Schizosaccharomyces pombe: one gene and its partner. Changing the gene in region 1 together with any one later gene gives a genetic interaction. Each region holds a gene or a part of one and is shown on either strand. Other genes may lie near its edges.

Region 1 (4,471 bases):
CTATAAAGGTCACTCCCTTGTATCCAGTATATTCTTGAACTTTAAAAATGCTATGTGCATTTTCGGGATATTTAGTAATACATTTAACGCCCTTTAAAAATTCATTTTTCAGTTTCGTCTTTAAAAGTTGTATTGCTGAGTTTTTGATGTTATGAGTACCCTAGGTTTTAGTAGTTAGAGAAAGAAAGAGAAAAATAATGATATGTAATATTCATTCAAAAAGCTAACCTACAATAAATAGACTCATACGTCTAAATGAGTTGTTTCGACCGTCCGAATTTTGCTTTTATTAAGTCCAGTAGAATAATCGCTGTAGACGTAAGTAAAAGGTCTCTTATGTTACAGTCAATTAGGGTTTATGTGTCTTTTACATGCTAATGTTAACTAAAGAAACTTTTTCAAAATTTCTTCAATAATCTTGCATTTGGGAGCTTTAAAATTTGATTATCGAATAAGAAAGTAATATAACTATTCACATAATCCATAGTCTCTTTGTTTATTCACATCCATTAGAATAGGCTTACAAAGTACTTATACTATTTATGAAACGCCTCTTATTAATCATCTAAAAAAGTATTTATGTATAAATGAATTTGAAAATGTTAACTGAAAGTGCGAAACCAATTTATGCAACATGAATATTCTATCTACTATAATAAATGTACATCAAACATTACCAGTACTAAAGGTACTTAATTTTCTTTATAAGTTAAAACAAAAACATGCAAATTCAAATATTCCGCCAAGCAATTTTTAAATTGTTGCGCGCACTTACGGAAGAGTATAGCTAATAATCATAAAAGCTATGATGACGACGCCTCTCAATTTCCTCTGCTAATTCATAGTCGTTATAATAAGGCGCAGAAGGCTCATAAGTAGTATGCGTTAAAGGCATATGCTGCCGAGAAATACGAGAATCAGACATGTGAGGCGGACTTTCATAAACTCCATAAACTGAGGAAGTGGGGTAGTATGGAGAAATCTGTCTATGCCGTTTATGGTAATACGGAGAAAACGATGAATTGTTAGATTCGTATGAATAGTGCGTTTCAATAGGAGGCGGACGATTCAAATGGAGCAGGGAGCGATTTTCTAAAATTGGCTCCCAATTATATCTTGATTGATTTGAAAACTGAGAAGGGCTCTCATGAAGACGATGAATGCCATTATAAGGAGGAAGCGATTTACGGGAAAGAAAAGTGCCGTCATAGTCTACAGAATTCCTTATCCCCGGAGGTAGAATATAAGTATTTTGATGAGGGAAAGGATGAGAAGTTTGATCTAAAGAAACCGGTTTATCTAAAAGGACAGCAGAAGGACGAGGGTGAGGCATTATATCCTTATAATCCCGAGTTGACATGACATTGTTCTCCAAGGACAACTCAGGTATTCGATTGACTTGTAGCGATTGCAATTCCTTTGGATAGGGGATCCAAGATGGAGAATACGGATGCAAATCCGAAATTGGTGATTGATTTCCCAGAATGACAGACGGCTCTTCGTTTTTTACGGAGACAATTGAGTTTTTTTCATCTGATAAAGGAACCGAAGGAAACCTAGTAGAGCTAGGTCTTGTTGACTGGGGAGGTGAAGGAAGGCGAGGAGAAGTAAAAGCTTTGTTAATAAGTAGGTTATTGCCCTGCTCACTCGATTCCAAATGTTTAAGACACGGGACTGCAACGTTAGTTGCCCTCGGAGGAGAAGGAGCTGACACAAGCGATACGGGAAGCGCAGATGATGGTGGAGACGGCATATACAGGTTTGATAACTCCACTGATCCAGTATCATTTTTCAACGGACTACGGCGAAAAGTGTTCGGTTGATATGTCTCTTTATTCACATTTTTTTTATTTTCCTTAGGCGTTGATGAAGAATTGCTAGGAAGAACTGAAGAAGGATTAAAAGCTTGATTCCCATACAAAGATAAAGTACTCTTTGCTAACAATTTATTAGATTTTTCCGGTTTTGAGGACTCCTCTTGAGTCCCAGTAGAAGATTGTTTGCTAGTGTTTACAACGGGAGTAATATCCTCTTTCATCAAACCAGTGGCTTCAGGTTTTGTTTGACTATTAAGTAAGGAATTAAAATCACGGTTAATGTCTAGCCGTGGTAAATTAGTAGATGATTTAGAAAAACAGTTTTCGGACATAGATTCTCTGTTACTAAAACCTCCATTCTTAAATTCAGAAGGAGTATTTTCATCTCTGGTTTGTGCTTTGGGTGATGATTTCAGGAGTTTGTTATTACCTTCATCATTTGCAATTTCGACTTTCCGTTTAACAGAATCAAAATTTTTTAAAGATTTATGTAATCTATCTCTTAAAAATTTTAAACGAACATTGTTCGGAACCAAAAATTGTTGATGTTTCCCTTCAAACACAGTATCTCTAAAAGAAATTATTTTTTTGTATTCCTTCTCCACAGAAGGTTCAACGGCATCCATTAATATTTAAATTTAACCAAAACAATAAAAATTCATGAATTCCCAAAAAAAGTTTTATTCAACATTTGGATGTTGCCAAGATATACGCTCTTGAATGTGCGTAGAGGTGACCATTAAGGAGCGCTGCACCACTGTATATATTATCTTGCATAATACAAACATAACAAAAACATTCATTAATCAAAATTGCTAAAGGCTCAAATGGGTTCTTTTATATTCTGGATACTACAAAGTTAAGCTTTTGCATTGTACGAATCACATTATTTTTTGCTTCAATTACGCACACTGCCTTAGCACAAATCTGTTTTACTTTTACCATTGAACGTGATCAGCAATTGTATTAAGACAGGGGTGAATGTGAACTACTAAATAAATTAACAGTCGATTTAAGAGAAATGCCATCGATTATCCTTTACTGTTCGTGGAATCAAGATCGTGGGTAAGTGGCACACATAAAATAGATTTTGTGCAATCTTTGTACTGACTGCTAAATTTAGCTTTTTATCAATTGGTTCTGAGAATGGCTATCAAGTTTATCGCTCCAATCCGTTTACCCTGTGCTTTTCAAAAAGTAAGCTGTCAATGAATTTCCGAGAAGTGGAAACACAAGCCCATCTTACACGACTTATAACTTACTGATTGTAGAAGCCAATGGGGCAAGTATTTGTGAAATGCTTTATGAATCTTCTCTACTTGCTTTCGTGAATATTTCCCCTGAGTCGACGAGGTTACTAAAATTGGTTGACATCAAGGTAATTAGTTAACTGAGATTCTGCATTGATTTCTTAATTTTAACCCATATTTTTAGAGAGATATCGTTTTATGCCGAATATTTTATCCGAGTCCTGTGCTAAGTGTACGTTTCACATGGAATCGTTTAGTTGTTTTAATTAAAGGGAGTATTTACGTATATAATCTAAAAAACATGGAATTAATTAATACTCTAAATACCTCGAAAGGAAATGTTATAGCTTTTGCTGTTCATGAGAATTATGTTGCATATAATTCACCGACCAACCCTGGTGATATTTATTTAGCCTCATTGGATACTGCAATACCCGTCACATTGATTCATTGCCATTCTTCCGCTGTCCAAGTAGTTGACTTTCATCCGCGTGGACATTTGATTGCGACTGCATCCGCAAAGGGAACTGTAATCCGTGTTATAACAACTAGTGATGGTGAATTGGTGACAGAATTGCGCAGGGGATATATACCTGCATCCATTGTATCTATCTCATTTCACCCAGTTGAGCCTTTTCTGGCTTGTGCTTCTGAAAATGGTACTATTCACGTTTTCAAAATCTCTAAGCAACCATCGGATCCGAATTCGTCTCCTACATCTTCCGTAACTGTGTCATCTTCTTGGTCAAAATATTTAACTTCAAATGTAGCAAAAGTTTGGGACACTAGGAAAGAATTTGCAACTGCTAAGATTCCTGAAGCTTCTTTCTATGGAAAAATAATTTTTTCGAGCAGCGGTCCGCACATACAAGTAGCTTCTTATTCAGGACACTATTATCGGTTCGCAGTAAATCTTAAAAATGGAGGAAATTGTGCTTTACTTGAGCGTTACATGTAAGCTGTTTGTTAAATTTTCGATTATTAACATATCTAGCTTTGACGATTAACTTTTTGCGCACAAGTTTTAAATTTACTCATACATCAGCTTCACAATGTTTTAGCTTTCATGGTCTTATGTTTTTTTTTTATTTACTGAACATGCTATCATTTATGTTTAGACCTTTGTAGATAATTTATTAAAATGTTAATGTCGATAAGTTGGTGTTTCACTAATATATTATACACCGGTACAGATGTGAAAAATTATCATTACGGTAGACACCTTACAAGTGCATCATATATCCTATATAAATTTTATATGCATTCCATAAATTCAATATTTGTACCGAAACAGGAGAATTAAAAATTCGAAGATAACAACATTCTATTAGAAACCCATAAAATTAAAGTAAATTTTTAGCGGCACGTTGACAACGCTAAAATCCAACCATGAAAAATTCCAGC
Region 2 (6,121 bases), 1.9 Mb from region 1:
TCTGATTAAATAGTTGTGTTAAGGGGAATTTAATTGTCCTTAACTCGTTATTTGCATAAATTATAAAATTAAACATTTTTTTCAATGTGGCATTTATTAAACAGGTCTCAAGTAAGAGTATGTATTTTGAATAAAACATATCGATACTCAGAGTGAAGTTGACCATCTTGTCAAAATACAAGTTAATTTTAGCACGTTCACTATAACTAGATCTTTGTCACATAAAATTTGAGGCAATCATAAATTTAGCATTGAGCCGTCATTGATCATAATAAACTTATGGCATAAAAATTCGTATACAAAAAATGATCAATCATTATTAATAATTAAATCGAATAAGTATACTTTCGTAAAACGTTCCCATTTGGAAACATAAATTAACATCATATATTTGAAGTGAATATAATTTACACAAGCAGGCAAATTCTTGCAATTTGTAAAACATCCGAAGTTTTTGGAGCAATCATAATATACTTTGGAATTGAACAAAAATAAAATATAGAAAAGAAAGGGTAAGCAAAGCGATAGGTAAACATAAACAATACAGGATCTCTTTCGTAATCAACATTTGCTTGCAGTTGGAGGAAACAAGCCTATTTGTTGGGCACTAGCAATAGATCTTAGTTTACGACGTGCATTATTGGGAGCAGGGAAAGGCTCTTCCATTCCTCTATTAGGTCCATGGCTTACAAATATTTTCGGGCGGTAAGCAGGGTTCTCGTCCATAACACACGAGTTTCGGAATTTTTCAATCAGCCTGTCTTTGCCTTGAATATTAGCATAGCTGATATCGCATATTTTTTCAGAGTGAAAGACGTTCCATTGAGTACCCACTCTAGCTTTGCCAAAGGTAATGATAGATTGAGGTTCAATAAAGTTTATAAACGCATATCCTACATTGCATTTATTAACAAAATCTATCCGTAAATAAAGAAAATCATAGGTACCCTTGTTGGTAACATCAATGTAATCCCTTAGCATTTGCTGGGTAAATTTATTCGGGATATTTTTTATCATTACCGTGGTTCTTGTGTCAATTCCAGACGCAATTTGTGCATAATCGACAGAATTTCTATCTGAAGCATGTTTTTCAACAGTAGGAGTATATCTTTGGAGATTCAAGTCCGGATTCAGAGAAGAAGCAGATAGTGTAGAATCTGCTTTTGAGTCGTGTAGAGTAAGTGAGGCAAAACTTAAATTTGTAGGATTACTACATGATGCATTTGCACCAACAGTTAAACTTCTCCTCATACCAAGAGAACCTGTTGGTGAATCAAAGACTTTACCAGTATTAGAGGAAAAAGGTGACCATTGTGGATTAATTCCGTTCAGTAAATCACTATTCCTTTGCTTAAGACGTGAGGAATTTGGCGGTGCAATAGGATTTACATCTAAACCATACCTTATCGAATTATACTGCCTGGAAGGATTTCGATCACTGGGAGCAACAGGGCTAGTTGAAGAGACATCGTAATATCCGCTTGTTCCCCAAGCTGGAGATGATTCAGTGCGTCCTAAGGGAACGGATCCAAAGTTATTCGACATTCCATAACTCGAACCAATTCTTGAAACAGCACAACTAGCAGCAGTGGGAGTTTCTTGGTTAGAAGACATTGTCATAGAGTTGTTCCATTCAGAATTGTTATTTAACATCCCACTAAATCCTCTTGGAACAGAGAGGCTAGAGGCCGAAGAGGTGCTAACTGAATCAGCCATTGCATCGTAATAAGCGACTTGAAGGCAGCAATTATGAATAATTCTTCCATCCAATTCATCTAATGCAAAAGATGCATCTCTTGTATCATAGAATTCGCAAATAATTTGTGAAACATTTTGACTTCTTAAAGGCTTCATAATAAGAAGTGGACCGAACGTCTGAAGTATAGATTGCAGTTGAAGGATGCTCAGAACAGAACCTCCCTGCATATTTAAGAGAAGTTGACCTTCATTATCGTCAAGGAATTGAATAGTAGCACCTTGATTAATCATTTTTTGAATGCTGCTTCTTTGGCAGAATTGGAAATACAGTAATCTATCATTAAAAAATCTCTGAGATCGCAGTGATTTAGCGGCCTGTATTGCTTGCCTAATATCGAAAAAAGCAACAATGCATATACCATCCGTAGACAATGAAGATGTATCAATTCCTTTCACATCTCCAAGTTTTGAAAAAAGCTCCAATAAAGTAGCATAAGGAACAATACGAGGAAGGTTAGTAACGAACAAGTAACGAGAAGCATGAGAAAATATATCTATATCGTCAGAATTAGAGTTAAGCGAGGAAGAACGAAATCCGGTAACAGATGGTTTACGAGTTAGTGCCTGAGCTGCTTGCTCAGAACTTGAAATGTAACTTTGAATGCCATTTTGCGGAGGGGATTCTGAGAGAACAGAAATGTTTTGTTGCCATGTACTAAGAGGTTGTCGATCAGCTGACAATAAAACATTACCTGTAGTGAATACTTTCCGTTCACCAACTCGACAAGCATCAATAGGATTTAAAGGAGCGGTTGAAAACTGATAGTTGTTTTCGTTATTAACAAAGTTGGGGAAGATATTTTGAGTATCCGTAAGATAATCAATTGAGTTTGATTCACTAGATTTGGTAGCAGATAGTTGAATATTTCTGATGGGTGAAGGACCACTCAAAAGTAAAGTACTCTTGGGAGGGTAATGCTCGTTAGTAGAGAGTAATGGTGAGTCAAGAAGACTTGAGGGCAAAGCATGCATTGTTTTCTCCATATCAACTTGAAAAGTTGAATCAGATGGAGAAGGGGAGGTGATTGATAAAGGTGATTCGGTTTCCATAATCATTTATGTGTTAAAACGGCAACAATAAAGCTGGCCGATAATCCTTAAAATAGATAAAGAGTAAAAAAAATTACTTAATGACTAATAACTTATAAAACTTTGTTTAGAAGTGGTAAGAAAGGGAGAGAAAGGAACTGCAAAGGATTAAGTTAATACAAACTTTAAAAGACCAGAAAGTTGAAAAGAAAGGAAGGGGTTAGATGGTTGTTAGTAAATCAAACAAACGATGAGAAAATGCAAAAGAACAAAAGAATAATGAAATGAAAAGAAAAAATCAACAATAAATCACAATTGTCGTTCAAATGTATATAATCAAACGAAAAGAATAACAACCAAGATTTGAACAAACAAACTTGTCTTTCATAAAATTAACAAAAGAATAACAAACGTTAGAGGAGGAGAAATTTTCGGGATAAAACTAGGAAACTACCCTTTAATTTTTTTAAAAAAAAAAGAAAAAGATGGGATATTGTCACCACAGAAGAAAAGCGCAAGTAAAAATTTAAAATAATCGATTAGAAACTTTACACATATATACAAGAAAAAATGTATATGCGTATATGAAGAGAAAATGGATTGGAATCGTATATATATAAATGTATATATACGTATCAGTTAGGTTGCAAAAAAAGGAATTAAAAAGTGAAGCACACGAAAAAAGGGGAAGAAAGGAATCGATTCTAGGACAAAGAAGAGAAAAAGATATCAGGGAATGACAATAACGATTCAAGAAAAATTGGTAAAGATCAAAATGAGGATTCAAGAATACAGCCAGAAAATGTAGATAATGTGGTAAAAGATATAATTTGAACTTTCTTTGCGAATGCCTACTATGGGCTATTTTCAACAAGGAATGGGAAAGCGATGGTTGGTCTCGGAGTGGGCACAAGTAATTAATAAACAAACAAACAAAGAAAAGAGAAGTAGCAACTGCGTTCAAAGGTAACAAAGATGCGGGTGGGGATTTTAAGAAGGAAAGAAATGAATTAGATAAATAAACGTATCAATGTTTTGTTACGGTCGATAGGTTTATTGGCGCGGATGATGGCAGCTGTGTGTCCTATTAAGATGGAAAATGCGAACGGTAAGAGAAACAATTGGCAAGGATGGAGTAATGGAAAAGAAGTAAATGCACGATGTATAAAAACTTAAGTTTTTTCCATATGGTTTTTCAACTAACTAGAGGTGTAAAAAAAAAAAAAAAAAAAAAAAAAGCAATTTCCCTTTCCTTTTTTAAAATGGGGTATATATTTTTTGCTTTCTCTATTACAAAGGAACGTTAAGTTTCAGACAAACAAAATATACGACAGCCTAAATGGCAGCAGCGAAACAAAACAAAAACGATGCAATGCAATGCGATGCTTTTCAGTACAAATCAAAAAGCCAGCCCAAAATAGTTCTGTAAAGATAATTACAACAATCTGTCCGGCCGGATTGCTGGAGGAAGGATGGATTGTATGTTGGGAATAATGAGAGGGCTTGGATGCTTTATAATGAGATACAGTAATTAGAGAACAAAGAAGTTATTTCAAAGAAATCACAAAGTCAAAAAGGACTTTATTTGCTCGCAAATATTACGACAATTACTGGGAGAATGCTTGATTGAATGGGACGTACTGTTTATGCTACCCCTGCCTTTGTCCCGTGTAACACAAAGTGGGAAGAGTAACAAAGAAACGAAGTAAGCCAAGTAAACAAAGAATCTCAACAGCAGCTTTCAGTGGCGAAAACAAAGCGTTGAAAACAAAGGGAATCAACGAAATTTATAGACCTACGATGAAAATTTCAGTAGCCTTTACTGTTAGGCATTTACTGTGAACGTTTTTGCAATGCCCCTGAGGGGCTAGCTCGAGAAGGGTTTGTAAAACAAAGAAACTTTAAAATAGGAACAAAGAAATCGGTCGGCTTTCGTTACTCTATCTAAAGTTATGATGCGATGTCAGTAAGCTCTAATATAAGAGGACGATAATGGAAAAAAAATCCCATAAAAAGCGGGACAACTGATCCAATTTGGACAGATTGAAAGCCAACGCGACTCGCGTTAGATAGAGTAAATAGCGAGAAACGCTAAATGCATTTTCTTTTATGGTGTTTGCTTTGTCTACTGAAGCAAAAGGCTATTTATTCAAATCAGTGGTAATTAGTGTATAGCTTGTAAAGGTAAGTTAGTCCTTTTGAAAGTTTGAAAAAGATGATAGATAAAAAACAACGTTGTATCCATCCCGAAAAACATGGACAAGTCAAAGAAATCACATTTTTTATTTGCCTTCATTAGTGTAGTAATCTCCACCTTGCTGTATAATTCGGTAAGGATTTCTTTTGTTATTTACGCGTGCTTTTTTCCATACATCTTTTTTCGCCAATGCAAAACCCTCTTTTAACAGTGTTTCTTCTTTCAACCCTTATTCAGCGCATGCGTCTCCTATATTTGCGCGTTTTACACAGAGGTCGTTTGACATCCAGATTGTTCTCTGGCATGAAAGATAACTACATCATTTAATATTAGCAACTTGCTCACTTTCTTTTCTTTTCACATAAACTATAAAGCTGTTCGGCAATTAAAATTCCCCACTGAAATCCAATTAGCCAACGATCAAACTAGATCGCATTTATTGAGTGATTTGAAAACAATGCTTTATGCGCAAAAGTGGAGAAGGTAAATGTAGACAACCTCACGTTTTTGTTTATAAACATTAGTAAACGCCGCATTCGATTTTAATGTATCACGTATAAATCGGTAAATATGTGTGTACCACGGTTGTAGAAGTGCTCGAAGACAAGTAAGAAGGAAGCATTAATAACTTTTGGCAATTAAAAAGAGGTTGGGAATTCAGAACAAAAAAAGAGTAAAAGCGATATATTTATTCTATTCCAAAAGATTTGTATGCATGTATAAGAGATTTTAAGGCTGATGATGGTTTTTGATTATACTTTGGGTTTACATTATTTTTGTTTTGTTCTGTTTTGTTTGTTTTGTTTTGCTTTCGTATACACTCTATTTTTTTTTAAACGTAAAATGATCATTAGCGATGTTGCTTCAGTAAAGCGAGAGTCAGTGAACAATGGTTAGATTAAAGCTTTGCTGAGTAAATATTTTTTGGCTTTCTTATTAAAGGTCTTATAAGAAACATATGTGTATTTTTTGTTTTATTGCTTAGCCAGTTTACTATTTTTGGGACAATGCGTTTCGTAAACGTTTATGATGTTTGATGTACGTGACGAATTGTTCAAAAGTTAAATTTTGAGGTTTAAAAAAAATGAAGGCCTGAGAAACCGCTTCTATCTCTATGGTTGTTTATATCACCAACAA

What was found. A genetic interaction does not mean that the proteins touch.
Region 2: of iss10 (region 1) and mei2, changing one enhances a phenotype caused by changing the other (phenotypic enhancement), as found in Schizosaccharomyces pombe (one study listed by BioGRID).

What each region holds. Positions count from the first base shown.
Region 1 is NC_003424.3:2,609,072-2,613,542, reverse strand, and holds iss10 (protein Iss10), read right to left. Parts: upstream 2,518-4,471; 5' UTR 2,444-2,517; coding exon 788-2,443; 3' UTR 541-787; downstream 1-540. Other genes in the region: SPOM_SPAC7D4.13C (uncharacterized protein), read right to left, coding at 1-160, 233-247; phosphatidylinositol-3,5-bisphosphate binding protein Atg1802, read left to right, coding at 2,839-2,882, 2,941-3,014, 3,089-3,195, 3,252-4,021, 4,062-4,074.
Region 2 is NC_003424.3:4,510,479-4,516,599, forward strand, and holds mei2 (RNA-binding protein Mei2), read right to left. Parts: upstream 4,548-6,121; 5' UTR 2,815-4,547; coding exon 562-2,814; 3' UTR 505-561; downstream 1-504. UniProt on the Schizosaccharomyces pombe protein: Crucial for commitment to meiosis but it is not sufficient itself for the commitment. May be a splicing regulator.